Caenorhabditis elegans: one gene and its partners. The protein of the gene in region 1 purifies or fractionates together with the protein of each later gene. This does not show direct contact. Each region holds a gene or a part of one and is shown on either strand. Other genes may lie near its edges.

Region 1 (8,404 bases):
CGACAAACAACACCAAGTCGGGCTCATTCACTCGGATTAGCTGCAACAAAATCGCAATTTTCAGTGGTTTGAAACATTTTCTCGAGGAATTCACTAGAAAATTCGAAATCCTTGCTATTTTCTGCATTTAACCCCAAGTTTTCAGAGCTCTATCTCAAAATCGCGTAAAATCCGGTGTTTCGGGTTACTGTAGTTGGTGTTTGCGTACTTTTGGGGCTACAGTACCCCGAAATTGTCGAAATTGAGCTACACACTTCAGAAACAATATGCGAGGGGTGAAATTCAGCGGGGAATTTGAATTTTGATATAAAAACTAGCCATTTGAAGTATTAAGGCTAGAAAAACGGGATTTTCAGTGGTTTAAAACATTTTCTCGGGGAATTCACTAGAACATTTGAAATCCTTGCAATTTTCTGCAAATTAACTCAGAATTTTGGGAATTCTAGCTCAAAATTGCGTAAAATCCGGTGTTTCGGGTTACGGTAGTCGGTGTTTGCGTACTTTCGGGGCTACAGTAACCCAAAATTGTCGAAATTGAGCCAAAATCACAAAAAAAAATTGTGCCGGGGGTGAAATTTAGCGGAGAATTCGAATTCTCAGGTAAAAACTAGCCATTTGAAATATTTCGGTCAGAAAATAGATATTTTCAGTAACTCAAGTATTTTTCTCTGCGATATTACAGCGTAATTCGAAATCTATGCTATTTTCTACATCTAGCCATGAATTTTCAGAGCTCTATCTCAAAATCGCGTAAAATGTGGTGTTTCGGATGTTTGCGTACTTTTGGGGCTACAGTAAGCCGAAATACTTCAAAATTGAGCTACAAACCCCAGAAATAATGTGGTAGGGGTAGAATTTAGCGGAGAATTCGACATTTCAAAAAAAAAATTTGAATTACCTTGGCCAACTCTCTCATCAGCGGTTCATTATCCTGCATTCGGCCGGCAGTATCCACCAAAACCACATCGAAATCTTGTTCAGCAGCCTTTTTGATGGCGGCCGCTGCGAGACCCGCCGGGTCTTTACCGTAACCCTGTTCGTGGAGGAGCACAGAGTTTTTATGAAGATCGTTGAGATATCGAGCATGGGTTCTCAGTTGTTCGACGGCTCCCGCACGGAATGTGTCACCGGCTGTAAGAAAATCGATAATTTTTGGAGAAAAATCGATTAAATTTCAGAGAAATCGATAAAGTTTTAGAAAAATCGATAAATTTTTTTTAGATAAAATTGATAAATTCACAATTTCCACCTCAAAAAAAAATTTTGTGACTTTTTTTCAATTTTTCGACAGAATTTTCTGCAAAATTAACTCTTTTTTCCAGGATTTTCGAGTGTTTTCATTCAAATTTCATGAATTTTTCAGATTTTTCACTAAATTTCTGGGAAAAATACAAATTCGTTGAAAATTGAAATTTGAGTAAAATTCGAAAAAAAAATTAGACAATATTTTATTTTTTCAAGATTTTCAACGTTTTTTACCGTAATTGGCGGATTTTTCGACAAAATTTTCGGTTAAAAAATTAAAAAATTTGAAAAAAAAGTGTTTTCAGTCAAAATTCGTAATTTTTTTCAGAATTTTTCAGTTTTAAACATTTTTTTTTTCAAATTTTTATGATTATTGAAATTTTTCGGTTTTGCAAGTTTTTTTTGCACATTTTTTGTGGTTTTTTCAATTTTTTTCCGCGGATTTTACGGGTTTTTACCTGCAATGAGCACGCGATGCTTGTTCTCAGTGAGCCAAAATGTAATTTTCGCGAGATTTGTCGATTTTCCAACTCCATTAACTCCACAGAACACAATGACATAGGGTCGACCGTCCCGTTTCGCTTCGATGACGTCACGAAGAATGTCTACACGATGTTTCGGGGTCAAAAGTTGGACAAGGGACTCGCGGACGGCAGTTTTAACTTCTTGAGCAACTCGAGAAAAGTTATTCACCACTTTTCCCTCCAATTTTGACACAACTGATTGACAGATCTTCTCCGCTGGCTCCGAAGCAACGTTTTTCACTGAAAATCGATAATTTATTGATTTTTTGAAGAAGCGAATCTTGAGAGATTTTCACTAATTTTCTACAGTTTATTGCGTGTGAAATCGATAGTCGATTTTTCGCACGATGGTAATTTTTTGTGCCTTTTTTCTGCAAAAATTGATAATTTATCGATTTTTCCCCATAAGCCGAGAAATAATCGAATTTTACACGATAAATTCACTAAAATATCGATTTTCTGTTTTTTTTTTTTCAAAGCATCAAAAATCGCTCAAAAAATCGATAAATTATGGATTTTTGCGAAAAATTGGCAATTTTTTTCGCAAGGAAAAAAAGGAAAAATCGATAAATTATCAATTTTTCGCACGAAATTGGATTTTTTTCGAGACTTTTTGGTACAAATTTCATTGTTTTCGGATTTTTTTGTAATAATCGATGATATTTTATCGATTTTTTAAAATAATTTTGAGATTTTATCTCAAAATCGATGATAAAAAGTTTTTTTTGAGCTATTTCAGATGTTTTTCCACAAAAAAAATCAATTTGTTTCATGGAAAAATTTGAATATTTTTCGGCTTACGGGGAGAAATTGATAATTTTATTGAAAACCAATAATTTATTGATTTTCCAATATTAATTTTTCTTTTGAATTTTGTTTAAAAATTTGATTATTTATATGATTTTTTTTTTCAGTTTTCCAAACTCACAAATCAAATTTTCTCTCATTTTTTCAATTAATGGATTCAGATCTTCAGCGCTAAGCTTCTTCTCTCCAACAAGTCCTTTAATCATACTGAACCATCCGCCAGACTGCTTTACAACTCTGAAAATTACTGGATTTTAGAGAAAACTAAGGGAAAATCGGCAAAAAAACACGATTTTTTTTCATGAAAATAGTGGGATTTGATGATGGAAAATTTAAAGAAAATTAGCTGAACTCTGATTTTTCCGCAATTTTTCAATTAAAAAAGAAAAAAAATTAAAAAAGAAAAAATTTTCCACTTTAAAAGTTTGTTCGACCGTTTTTAATAATCCAAATTCAAATTTTTCAAGTTATTTTCTTATTTTTCAGACGAAAATGTGATCCATTTCAACGATATTTTCATGTTTTTTAATCCAAACATTCGGATTTTCACGAAAAAAATGTGAAAATTGATGAATTTTTCGGGTAAAAATTCATTTTTTTGTTTATTTTTCGAGATTTTCAGTCAATTTTCTTACTGCTGATCATTATCATCTTCATCTTCATCATCAGACTCCTGAAGTGACTTTAAATCTCCTTTAAGTGTTCCAATTTGTTCCTTCATACTCTCAACGAAGCGATTTTTCTCCTCATCGGCGGCATTTTCGTCATTCTGGAAAAAAATTTGGGTAAAATTGAATAAATGACCGGATTTTTAGCTGTAATAACTGTAATAATTGAACCGAAATTTCAGATTTTTCGAAATTTTTGGGAATTTTAGACTCTTATTTTCTCCAGACCGGCCTAAGCTTAAGCCTGATTTTAAGCCTGATTTTAAGCCTAAGGCCAAGCCTAAGCCTACACCTAAGCCTAATTTTTCGGGGTTTTCAAGACAAAATTCAGCTAATTTTTAAGGCTTTTTCGAAATTTTGGGAATTTTTAGACTTTTTTTTACAGTCTCTCTAAGCTTAAGCCTGAGTTTAAGCCTGAACCAAAGCTTGAGCATAGGCCTACGCCTAAGCCTAAGCCTGATCCTAAGCTTCAGCTTAAGCCTACACCTAAGCCTAATTTTTTCGGGGTTTTCAAGACAAAATTCAGCTAATTTTTAAGGCATTTTCGAAATTTTTGGGAATTTTAGACTCATGTGTTTTCTCCAGGCCGGCCTATGCTTAAGCCTGAGTTTAAGCCTAAGCCTAAGCTTGAGCATAGGCCTAAGTCTGAGCCTAAGCATAAGCCTAAGCCAAGCCTAATTTTTAGGGGGTTTCAAGACAAAATTCAGCTAATTTTTAAGGCTTTTTCGCAATTTTTCAGATTTTTCGGAATTTTCAGACTATTTTTTTTCAGTCCCCCCTAAGCTTAAGCCTGAGTTTAAGCCTAAGCCTAAGATTGAGCATAGCCCTAAGCCTAAGCTTAAGCCTAATATTTTCGAATTTTAAGACGAATTTTAGCTACTTTTTGATGATTTTCAACAATTTTTCAATTTTTTTTCAAATTTTCGCAATTTTACGTGAAAATTAGCCAATTTTCTTCAGTTTCGAGGGTTAAGCCTAAGCCTAAACCTAGGCCTAAAGCCTAAGCTTAAGCCTAAGCCTGAGCTTAAGCCTTATTTCTCGGAATTTTTAAGCGACTTTAGTTAATTTTTGAGGATTTTTCGCCGGTTTCGGTGAAAACTAGCTAATTTTCTTCAATTTTTCAGCGAATTTCGTCGAATTTCTACCTCTTTCGGATCGGATCTATCGAGATTTTTGACGTCAGCCGGTTTTCCACTCAAAGCCCAAACTCTAGCTTGTTTTCCCTTGGGCTTAGGTGAAGTAGGCTCTTCTGGGCCTTTTTTCTTCGTATTTCCACTCATTTTCTTGAACATTTGATCCCTTCTACGTAAAACTTCTTCATCCGGGCTTCCAGGTGGTGATGCTGAATTATAATCAGTTGCAGACGATTCTTCGGCACTTTCCACCGGCTTTTTCGGCGTTTTTTCAGCGTTTTTCGCGGATTTTTCGGCGTTTTTCTGTCCCGGGCGGCTCACAATCAGCGAATCGATGGTTTTTTGAGATTTTGCAGATTCTTGGAACGTTTTCGGCTTTTTGACGGTGTTTTCAGTGGCACGAGCACTTTTTGCAGCTTCTGAGAGCACTTCGTGAAAGGTTTCGTCGAAATTTCCGTAGATATTCGACGGAGGAGTGGTTAGAGCCTGGAAAAATAGATTCTTAAGCTTTTTTCGCAAAAAATTAGTTTTTCTCAGCTAAAATGCCACTTTTCCGCGCGCAAAAGTGGTGTTTTTAGATGGAAAATTGAATTTTGAGCATTTTTTTAGAAAAAATATCATCTTTTTAGCTGAAATTTGAGATTTTTGGGACTTTTCTGACAAAAATGAAGTTTTTAAAAAAATTTTCCACGAAAATTGCAGTTTTTAGCTGAAATTTGAGATTTTTGGGACTTTTGAGAGAAAAATGGGGGTTTCAGAAATTTTTTTTGCGGAAAAATTTTTAATTAAAAAAATGACTGTTTTAAGGTGAAATTTGAGATTTTCAGCATTTTTCTACCAAAAAATTGAAGTTTTTTGACTTTTACAGCAGAAATGAGAATTTTTCGAATTTTTTAGCAAAAAATTTTTTAATTGAAATTCAAGGTTTTTGGCACTTTTTTTTTCGAGAAATTACGCTTCTACAGCTTAATTTCCATAATTTTACGATTTTTATCAATAAAAATTGTGTTTTCAGCTAATTTTGAACCAAAAATCGATTTTTTTTTTGTCAAAAACTCGGTTTTTGGTGGAAAAATAGAGATTTTTGTTCAATTTTTTAACGAAAACTCACTGTTTCTTCTCTCAAATTCTCGGAAAACTCTCCTCGAAAGCTATCAACGACCAAATTGAGCAGTTTTTCCGCATAATTTAAATTCACAATTGTTTGATAAATTACCTGCAATTTTTATTGATTTTTTGAGGAAAAAATATGGTTTTTCTACCAAAAAAATGACATTATACTCATTATCAAGCTGAAATTTCATTGTATAATTTCCAACTTTTTTCTGTCCACTATTTCCACGTTCTTCCATCAGTGTTCCCTTAATCAGCTCATTATTGATGGCTTCCGTGAAGTTATAATCGCCTTCCTGTAAAATGGGCATTTAAAACACTGAAAACTGAATTTTTATCGATTTTCTGATGCGGAGAATGTTAAAAATCGAGGATTTCCGATGATTTTGAAGTTTTTTGAGGCAAAAACCAATTTTACCCAGTTTTTTCCAATAAATTACCTGATAATTCCACAGGCAGACGCCTCCTTTCGTGAAAATCGAAAAAAGTTCGATCATTTTAGCCGGAAAACTGAAATTTTTAGATTTATTCCGAAAATTTCAACGCAAAAAACTGCACAACACGTGTAGTTTTGCGCGTCAAGTCTTGGGTTCATGGTACCAGAATACCGCATTTGACGACACAATGCACACTTTCTTTTTGGAGGAAAGTTATTGAATTCAAATATTGAAAAAAGAGAAATTATGATTTTTGGCGAATAAAAATGGAATGAATTGTTGAAAATTGCGGAAATCTGTTCAGTTAGAGAGTGATTGTATTAGTTTAAAGATATTTTTTCAATGCCTCAAAACAAATTTAATTTTTTAATTTTTTTTTTTTAATGTATGAGGGTAGCCAAAACCGCGTGAAACAAATTCAAAAAAAATCATTTTCAGATGCTCAGTTTGCTCAGGTAAAACTACCAAAATCAAAGTTTGAATTGGAAAAAGGAACAGGAAGACCGAAAGCTACATGACGAGTGAACTGGTTCCTGATGCAAGGAGCTGCAAAAATGGAGCCGTGCATGTTACTAGGCGATCTGTCACTGAAAAATGATGTTTTTTTCCTGGAAAATTGAAAGAACACACTAGAAAGTTAGACAAAAAGTTCGAAAGAGCACTAAGCCAAATGCATTTGAAAAAAAATTGAACATCCTTCAGCTAACGTCACCTAAAATCACAGAACTAGTTAGGAATTCGCCTGTTCAAGCCTGGCGATCGCCCCGAAATAAAACCCCCGGTTTTCAAACTCACAAACCTTTTATTGCGAAAAGCTTTAGAAAAAAACAAGAGTCAAGAAATCCGGTTCGAATCATCATGAAACCGGAAAACATTCTATAAAAAAAAGCTGATCTTCGGAGCCAAGAACAATCAATAAAAAATAAGCTAACCTGGCTAAAAACCAGGGGTCAAAATTCTCAAAAAAATCTCAAATTCGGCAAATCTCTTTTTCCAATATTTGCCGAGCTCGACAGATTCGGCAAATTTACCGTGCTTAACAAACTCCGAAAATTTTGGTATTTTTTATGCTTTTTGGAGCACCAAAACTACTGATTTCTTAACACACATCTGGTTTCAGAATAAGTTCCATGTAGTATGTTTGCTCAAGCATCTAAATAACTCAATTTCGTGTCATTTTACTAAACTTTCAGCGGCAATCAATAGTTTTGGTCAGAATTGTACTGCAAAGTTTTTGACGTGTGCGGCAAATTTCGAAATTTGCAGAGCTCGGAAAATTTGGCAAATCTACTTTTTCGAAATTTGCCGAGCTCGGCAAACGGCAAATTTGCCGCACACCACTGCTAAAAACTATAAATCTGGCGCAATGAGCAGCGAATCAATACGCCGCTTCGAGCAAAACTAGTTTCGCGCCAGCGTCGGACACGAGAAATGCGCTAATCATCTCTGCTTGCGCAATATTTTATACTTGAGTTAAGATTTGAGGCAGGTATAGATAAAATCAAAGAGAAAACGGGCAAATCCAAAAAGTTTTTGTTATATTAACAATGCTTTATTCTAACATAGTGAAATAAGCAGTAGGATGACAATTATATGTAATTCATGACTTAGAGCTCAGGCTGCACGGGAGGTGTTGCTGGAATTGGCTCGAACTGAAAATTAAGTGTACTATTGGTCAGTAGATCAAATTTCTTAGTTTCTCACCCAACAATCTCCGGTCCATCCCAGAAAGTCTAACGCCACTTCTGTCGATTCATTTGTTATATTAATAACAAATGAATCGATATCTGTCATATTATAACCTTCCACCAGTTCATGAGTGATGATCGCGTTGTTATCCAAGTAAATAAACGCTTCGGTATAAGAAGAATTTACGTAAATCTTGAACGTTTCTCCATACGTATACGGACTTTTCTCCGTTTGCACTTTAATCCGTGTGTTACCATTGTATGTGTACATATTAAGCGCTGTCTGGCCGCTGCCGATGAAATTCCTAACTTCGACATAAAGTGGGTAGAATCTGGTGATCGTATTGTAGAATGAAATGGTGAAGCTGAAAAGGTCATAGAATATTTAAAGTACCAGTCCAGGCTTTACCGATGTTGAGATGAAGAAATCTGTCCGGTCATGAAGAAAGTGGAGCCGGGCAGGAACTTGGAAGTAAGGTAGTGATAGTAAGGTTGTGGCTAAAGGAGATTTGTAGATATGTTTTGCGTTAGAGAGTAAAAATAACTTACGACAGTTTTGCTGATTGTTGTCTGAAAAAAAAAAAATGACAGATTGCCTCTAGAGCCGTCCAAAAGGACCAATTCGGACTTCCAGAGCCCAAATTTTCTGATGAGTATTTTTCTAGTGCTTGATTGTAACTTACTGCCTCGGAACTCTGAAACTGCCATGCAAGACGCCTATCTTCAAGGTTGAGGTTTCAAAAACAAGAACTGTATTCTTATGTCGTTTTTGTCATGAGCCTATTCATT
Region 2 (3,205 bases), 180 kb from region 1:
TTGATTTCTGGTCAAAATAATTGTAATTTAATACACATATAAATCATATATTATCGGTTATATTAATTTTTCAAAAAAAAATTTTGGGTCTCGTCACGAAATTTTCGAAAGAAAAGAAGTTTCTTCGAAAATAGTCATGATTATACTTATTCAAACCGGCTTGCCACGCTGATTTCAAAAATATAAGTTTCATGGGTCTCGCAGCGAAATTGGCTGGGTTACTGTAGATTTAAAGGCTAAATTTAGGCCAAAGTCGTTCAATTTTCGTTCAAATTTTAAAAATTTTAAAACCTATGCTTGAGTAAACTCATTCAAACTGGCTTGACACGCTGATTTCAAAAATATGTCTTTCTTGGGTCTCACAGCGAAATTTATCGGGTTACTGTAGACTTTAGAGCCGATTTCAGGCCAAATCATGACGATTTAGGCCCAAAATATAGAATTTTTGAAACCCAGGCATGATTATACTTCTTCGAACCTTCTCGTCGTGAATATTGCGGCAAAAAGATTGTAAAACTGAAAAAAAAAATCGTTTTTTCAACAAAAAACAAGGAAGATCGACACAAAAACTAGCTAGAAATAGGGGGAAATAGGAAATTTACACAAAAATCAATCGATATAAATTAGATGAGATTATGATTCCATCGATATTTTCCGGTGACACATTGCGGTGCTCGCAGGAGTCCCGTGCACGGATGTTGGCCTTGAACTTCGCACATACACTGAAAAAATGAACGATTTTTTGCCGATTTTTCGCGCAATTTTCAGACCTGTCGCTCATTTTTGGATCCGAAATCGGCGGGATTAAGCTTGGCAATACTCTCCAAATGCTCTCTTCGCTCCACTAATTCCGTTTTTCCTAGCGTTTTCGCCAATAATTTCTCGATTTCCTCGCGCTTCATGCCGTCCAAGTCGAATAGCACTTCCCGGCCGTCGTCTGAAACATTTTTTAGTAGAATTTTGTGGATTTTCAGCTTGAAACTTACTCAGATATGCTCTGGCAAAGGGCGTCACAACTTTATCGGCATGCTTAACGAGCTGAACTTTTGGATTGTGATATTGAAGCTGCGCCCAGTTCCAGTAGACGAAATCTCGTGCTCCAGACTGCTCGGGCGTCGGATTTTTATGAAAACCCATCGAGAACACGTTGACGTTGTCGCGAAGCTTCACTTTTCCCTGCTGGAGATAGAAGAATGTCCGCCGAAGCGGCATGGACCCGTGCATGAACGGCATTTCTGGTTTTGAGCTGAAAAAGGAAGGAATTTCGTGGGAAAACGCTGAATATGAGATTACGATAAATTTATGCAAAAGATAGAATTAAAAAACCACTGGAAAAAGCTAAAAAATCGCTTGAAAATGAGAAAAAAAATATATAATTAAAATAAATAATTTTCCTCCCAACGACACTCCGATATCACGTTGTGCGCCTTCTTTATCGTAAATCCACATTTGCTTTTATTTCTGATTTTTGGGTTTTTTAGCTGTTTTCAAGCTATTTTATATCAAAATTCAGTAAAAACCGGTAATTTTTCGTCTATTTCCCGCAAAAATTACATAAATCATGTAAAAATGCTGATTTTATACCAAAAATTCACTAAAAATAAATAACACGCACTTGTTAATTCGGAGCATCGTTGTTTTAAACTCTAAATTTTTTTTCCAGAAATTTGATGGTTTTCCCAGTTTTTCAAGCATATTTCATGTTTTTTGGTGCCTTTAACGCTTCTGAAAAATTTTAGATTCTCGAAATTCCATCTTACAATCTCTCGATTGCTCTGAAAATCTCAAAAATCTCAAGATTTCGTATAAAATAGGATTTTCCAGGGTAAATCACGCGATGCCAATGTACAAGCTGACACCGACGTTCCCACCGAATTTTGAGGTTCATCCGAAAATCGCCTGCTATCCAGTAGGTTCGTATCATAATCCATCTTTCGGAGGAGTCGGGCCTTCTGATGCGGTGCAGGTAATAGACGGATTTTGGCTCAAAAAAAACTGAAATTTCAGGTAGAATCCGATCCGCGCAAGGCTTTGGAGCACAAACAGCTCTCACTGATCGAGCAGCTCAAAGCACAGACCGAAGAGCTCAAGAAGTTGCTGGTAAGCCTTGGAGAGGCTGGAAAAGCAGAGAGATCTGCTCAAAAACCTGCGGAAAAAGCGCCAAAAGAGCCTGAGAAATCCGCTGGAGCAGCCTCTTCAGCTCCCGGAGTCCCCGGAGCCCCCGCAAAACTAGACAAGGACGCCAAGAAGGAGGCTCGCAAGGCTGCCAAGGCAGAAGCCGTAAAGAAATTGGCTTCCGGAGAGGCTCCACCACAGAAATCCGCGAAAAAGACCGTAAATTCGACTCCATGGACCGTCCAGGACGACCGAAAGACGTGGGAGACCAATCTGACTCTCACCGTGAATCTCCCAACCTCCCTTGTGGCCTACGAGCCGCAGGAGCAGCTGAAAAACGCCACGCTGACAGTGCGGGACGTGGATTTGCCGTGGGCTCGGGCTCTCGCAAAGGTCGGCGCAAGCCGTGGAGTCTCGTTTGAGGGAGAAGTCAAAAATCAGACGAAAGAGAAGAAATCCAGTCTGAAAGTTGTGAAAGGTGCGGGATTTTTTCTCTAAAAATCAGAATTTTATGATATACCCTTAATTTTCAATATTTTCAGGCCCTGCTCCCTCCCTGCAATTGGAAAAAACTACCGTCAAATCCCTTCAAACTATCTGGAAGCTGTTGGGCTCTTCACTCGGGCTCTTCTCTAGACGGCCACAACAAGTGCTCAGCGCCAGTCATCAAGCGATTTGGCTGGGAAAAGTAGGAAATTTTAGAAACTTTCCCAAAAAAATCAAATTTTCTTTCAGGCCGAGCAAATCCTTGCCGGCTCCTGTGATCAGAGCTTTGTCACACGTGAAGCTTCTCAGTTCCTGGCTCGTTTCGACTCGTTAAGCTCTCAATGGGAGGTGTGTGTCGCTGATATTGTGTTCAGAAGCCTTCTGAACCTTGGGGAGCACCTTCCGAACAATGTGGAGTTGTGGGCTAAGAAGATTGACGCTTTGATTGTTTAGATTTGATTTATTGATGTTTTTATTTGATTTTCTCGGTTTAAATGAATTATTTTGCATTTTTATCTGATTTTTTCGTTTAAGAAACAAATTTTTTGCTTTAAAAATTCAGTTTACAATTACAACGATACTCCAAAATCCCGCAGCGCGCCCT
Region 3 (4,836 bases), on another chromosome or scaffold:
TCGCAAATATGCTACTAGAACTTTTCCATTACTCTTTTCCAAAAAGATGGGTACGTGAACCATTTAAGTTTATGTCAATTCAACTGAACATGTTCAAAGGAGTCAGCTAGAAAACTGTGAACTTTCCGCTCAAATAATTTCATAGTGAAACCATCAAACCAGACCTCCGTGGTATAGTTTTCCGATTTGATAAAGATCGCGTTAAATATCCATACTACTAATTAAATTGAACTTCTCGCTTGAAACCACATGCAGCGTTTGTCTCGTTGGCCACCACTATCGGTGAAAGAATTTTTCTGGCGATTAGCCAAACCAGGTTTCATTCCTCCTTATTAGGGTCAGTGTTTCTATCTGCACTGACCTTTTCATGAGACATCGACAAGCCTATTTCATGCCTCACTGTGCTAATGGTTTAATTGTTTTTAAAAAAGTCGGTTATCCTCCCAGTTTCGTCAGTTCAACACCAATCTTAGTGTCTGCGGGTTCAAAGCATACAAGCTATCTTAGATCACAGTACAAAACACTAATTGCATTTATTGAAAAAATAGACAGCGGAACATTTACATGGAAAAAATACGAAAGAATGCAAATTATTATAATGTGTAGGTTTTTTGATTGAATTACCAGCCGATTTATCATTTTTAGTGAGTAACAACCTTGATAATTTTTGGGTGAAAGAATTTAAATGAAAGAAAAAAGAAAAAAGTGAGATGAATTTTTGATTTAAATCACTCCATAATATCATAGTTGTGAAGACATAACTTCTTCAAGTTTGCCTCCAAGCTTTCGACTGCCAGAGCCATAGCGCTTTCGCGGATGTCGGTGTACAAAGGAGAGGTCCTGGAAAAATGGTTTTTAAGATCAATCACAGTAAATTGTACATGATTACTACGTTAAAGATTCAATAGTTGTTTAACTTTCTATCAGAAATACTCAACATCCGAGGAATCAGATGCAAACTACTAGCTCACATCACAAGTAACATTTTAAGTCAGTCATCTTACATGTATCGTTCTCCACAGCTTGGCAAACAAGTCACAATGAGCTTTCCAGCCATTTCTGGGCGAGCAGCCAACTGAAGTGCAGCTGCAACATTAGCTCCGGAGGAAATTCCTAAAATATAGAATTTTAAAAACATACTTCTTTCAAACTATCAAAGCAAACACAGTCACACAACCTACCGCCAAGAAGACCTTCTTCATAGGAAAGTCTTTGAGCCATGACAATAGCCTCATCGGAATGAATTCGAATTACGTCTTCATAGATCTTTGTGTCCAAAACAGCTGGAGCAAACCCTGCTCCAATGCCTTGAATTTTGTGTGGACCGGCTGGTCTGCCGCTGAGTATAGCGGATTCTTCTGGCTCCACAGCAAACACGCGGACACCTGGATTCTGCTCTTGCAAGTATCTGCCAACTCCGGTAATTGTTCCACCAGTTCCAACCCCAAAAACAACAGCGTCTACTGTCCCTTTGGTTTGTCTCCAAATTTCTGGTCCAGTTGTTTGATAGTGAACAAGTGGATTATTTGGGTTGTCAAATTGAGCAAGAATGATAGACCCTGGAATGTTTTCCTTCAGCTGGTTAGCCATGTCAATCGCTCCTTTCATTCCTTTCGCTGGGTCTGTCAAGACCACCTCGGATCCATATGCTTTGAGAAGAGTTCTCTGTAAGATATATATTTTATATGTTAAAAAATTTTCAACCCGGAGATTTGTTTAAAATCACAGATGACACAACTGTACTCAATAGCTAAAAAAAAAGGTTTCAGTACTGGCAATTCCTGGGGTGAAGATTTGCATCCATAAGATCAATACTCACGCGTTCTCCACTCATAGATGCTGGCATTGTGACAATACATCTATACCCCTTGGCGGCAGCAACAAAAGCCAATGCGATTCCAGTGTTTCCTGATGTTGGCTCAATGAGCGTGGTCACTCCCGGGATCACCTTAAAAAATTTTAATGCAATTTTTTGAACAATGGTATTGTTGATGAAGCACCGTTCCATCTTTTTCGGCCGCTGCAAGCATTGCCGCTCCAATACGATCTTTGACCGATCCCGCTGGATTCATGTATTCGATTTTTACAGCTGTAAACTTGAAAATTATAATAGGATAATTGGACTTTTGTTTCTTCTTGAAAATTCAAAACATTTTTGATTTGTAAAATTCAATTTTATCTACGTTCTGGTTTTACTATTTTTCGTACTTTCTTTTAAGTGAGACTATTTGTCAAAGTTATATTTTGTTGAGAAGTTACAAAACTCGGTTACAGTGGTATTGCATAAAAGAAACAAAAAAATTCAAAGTTTCACCAGTATTGTTCAAAACATTTTTTAAGATTTCGTTTAATTCAAATGAATAAACCAACCAACTGTCCCTGGAAGTCCTTTTGTCAATTTATTGATGTACACCATGGGTGTGTTGCCAATAAGCGCGGCAGCATTTTCGCCAATAGAGTTGCGATCAGCCATCTGAAACATCGACTATGAGTTAAATGAGAGTGTAGACAATAACGAGAGAACGCAGAAAAGGGAAAACTATATCACAGGAAAGAAATATTTTAAACTATCAATGACTATTGGCACGGAAACAAAATATTTTTCTATCATCTGTTTCTGCTGGTTTTGACACCAAACTCCAAATGATAGTTGGACTTTTAAACAGAAGGAGATAAGGAGATAAAGAAAATGTTATAAGATAGGGAGAGATAGACGACACATGTCTAAGTACATGTTGTGTAGCGGAACGAATGCACAATCAGCTGGCATTTCTTAAAGGTTGGCACACATCTAATGAGCCATTGAATGAACATTCTAAGGAAGCAATGAGGAAACAAACAGAACACGCAACACAACGAGCAAGAGATAGAAGAATATCCCGTTGTTGTATCTTATAGAGCAGCTGCAACGAGACAGATTTATAAAAATGAAGTGAGCAAGTAAGGAGAGAATGAATCCACGATAAGATAATAAAACAACAATAACCGCTCAGTATGACATAATTGCATTATGCAAATGTCGGTGAGCTGGAAAATTTACAATGGGAAAAGAAGAGATGATATCCATTTATTAGAAACTGGGACATTTTTGATGATAAAAGGTAAACCACTTCGTATTTTTCCCGAAAGTATAAATTAAACTTTTTAGGAACTCAGACAGAGTTATTTCAAAAAATTGTTATTTTCTAGATCAAGCACGATAAACTCCAAACATGGAAAAGCATTTACATGTACATCTATTATAGGTAATTAGGAATAGTTTATCCTGAATAACCTTTATGAGTCATGAGTTAAACAAAACACGAAAACGCCCCACTCACCGGATTAAACCAATGAAAAGTACTTGCACGTTTCGATATATACTTAGTGTTCTTGTTTTGTAAAAATAGCAAATGCAACAACTAACCGGCTGGTATTATTTTGATCTTTTGAAACTGCACTTATTAATGAAACATTTCATTCTTTGAAGTGGAATCTTGTTGCAAAAATTGAAGGATGTAAAAAATGGATCTCCTGTCATCTAATAGAAACATTCACACGCTTTTTCCATTTTCTTTTTCTTCTAAGAAAACTCCGAGAAGGATGAAATAGGAGGTGATGGGGAGTTTTCTTAATAAAAAATATAATGAACAAACGATCAAATTACACGATATCGCGAGGCGTTTTCAGAATTTACTTCAAAAAGTAAACTTTGATCATTTTAAAACGGCAGTTCTTAAAGAGCATTAGACCTTTTTACAGTTTCTATCTGGATATGTTTCAAAATTCTTTGAAAACACATTTGATGATTGAGAAAACCAATAATAGTAGTGTCGAAATAGTGTGAAGTAAGCAAAAAGTAGTAGTTTGCATGCAATAATGTCCAGAAAGCAAAAGGTCACTCGTGCTATTTCTTCTATGCACTTCAGACTTCATCAGTAGCATGGGAAAATTCCCACGTCGTCCAGAAACGTTGAATATAAGAATTATACTGTCGAGCATGCATTTATCTCTATATCTTTTGCAAAAAGATATAAAACACAAACGATAAAAAGAAAAGAACAAAACTGGATTGTGGAGACCTACCAAGGTTGATAAATAAATTAAAAAGCGGTAACAGAGACAATTTTTGTTAATTTCTTTGTTGATGAAATTACAACGATGAATTGAATAACAATTTCCACACGCATGCTGTTTCATTCATATATACTTTGACCACTGGGACTACTTCTCAGTTAAGATGTAGAGATCAAAAGATGAAAATCTAGCGAAACGCATACGCATGGGAGCATAACTGACGGATAAAAGCTTATTAGCTTTGCGACCAGAGTAGAAACATTAATATGGACCTCGAGAGCATTAAATGTAAATGAAAGAGCATGCAGAACACTCGGGATTTGGGAGAATAAATTGAAAACTGGTGAATCGGTTGTCGCTATTTAGTTTCGCAGTGTACTTCTTGCCATTTTATTACAATGATGCCAAAAACAGTTGCGAATTAAATTTTCAATCTAGAAAAGAAGATAAAAATCTACTTGCTAACATGAAATTCGAACTTCAGAACAAGTTTAATCGTAAGCTGAAGAGAGGTTTCTCGAAACTACATATATAGAAAATCCGCAGCCTTAAGAATTCACACATCAGAATGAAGTATTAATGAGCAGCATGCGCTTTTCTCTGAACCCTTGCACATAGAACAACCAAACCTCACATTTTATAATGCATGCAGTAAATTCAAAAGGGAAGTCACAAAGTACAATTTAGGGGTACTCGAAAATGACGCAAAGAAAAATCAAAACAATAACGAATCACGTAATAACCATGTGGGGGTGTTGGTTACACACCCGCTAAAACTAT

What was found.
Region 2: the proteins of F38A1.8 (region 1) and mrps-25 fractionate together in Caenorhabditis elegans (co-fractionation; one large-scale study listed by BioGRID). This does not show direct contact.
Region 3: the proteins of F38A1.8 (region 1) and cysl-1 fractionate together in Caenorhabditis elegans (co-fractionation; one large-scale study listed by BioGRID). This does not show direct contact.

What each region holds. Positions count from the first base shown.
Region 1 is NC_003282.8:1,233,798-1,242,201, forward strand, and holds the start of F38A1.8 (SRP54-type proteins GTP-binding domain-containing protein), read right to left. Parts: upstream 6,056-8,404; 5' UTR 5,988-6,055; coding exon 5,931-5,987; intron 5,787-5,930; coding exon 5,640-5,786; intron 5,594-5,639; coding exon 5,489-5,593; intron 4,864-5,488; coding exon 4,390-4,863; intron 3,346-4,389; coding exon 3,212-3,345; intron 2,814-3,211; coding exon 2,698-2,813; intron 2,010-2,697; coding exon 1,704-2,009; intron 1,132-1,703; coding exon 899-1,131; intron 41-898; coding exon 1-40. Other genes in the region: F38A1.15 (PAN-3 domain-containing protein), read right to left, coding at 7,535-7,579, 7,632-7,980, 8,025-8,113, 8,165-8,185.
Region 2 is NC_003282.8:1,054,933-1,058,137, reverse strand, and holds mrps-25 (Small ribosomal subunit protein mS25), read right to left. Parts: upstream 1,247-3,205; 5' UTR 1,234-1,246; coding exon 987-1,233; intron 938-986; coding exon 771-937; intron 723-770; coding exon 624-722; 3' UTR 519-623; downstream 1-518. Other genes in the region: Y55F3AM.13 (FH2 domain-containing protein), read left to right, coding at 1,838-1,966, 2,008-2,593, 2,658-2,803, 2,851-3,054.
Region 3 is NC_003284.9:9,952,061-9,956,896, forward strand, and holds cysl-1 (Cysteine synthase 1), read right to left. Parts: upstream 2,474-4,836; coding exon 2,371-2,473; intron 2,090-2,370; coding exon 2,001-2,089; intron 1,949-2,000; coding exon 1,820-1,948; intron 1,666-1,819; coding exon 1,182-1,665; intron 1,114-1,181; coding exon 1,005-1,113; intron 841-1,004; coding exon 729-840; 3' UTR 519-728; downstream 1-518.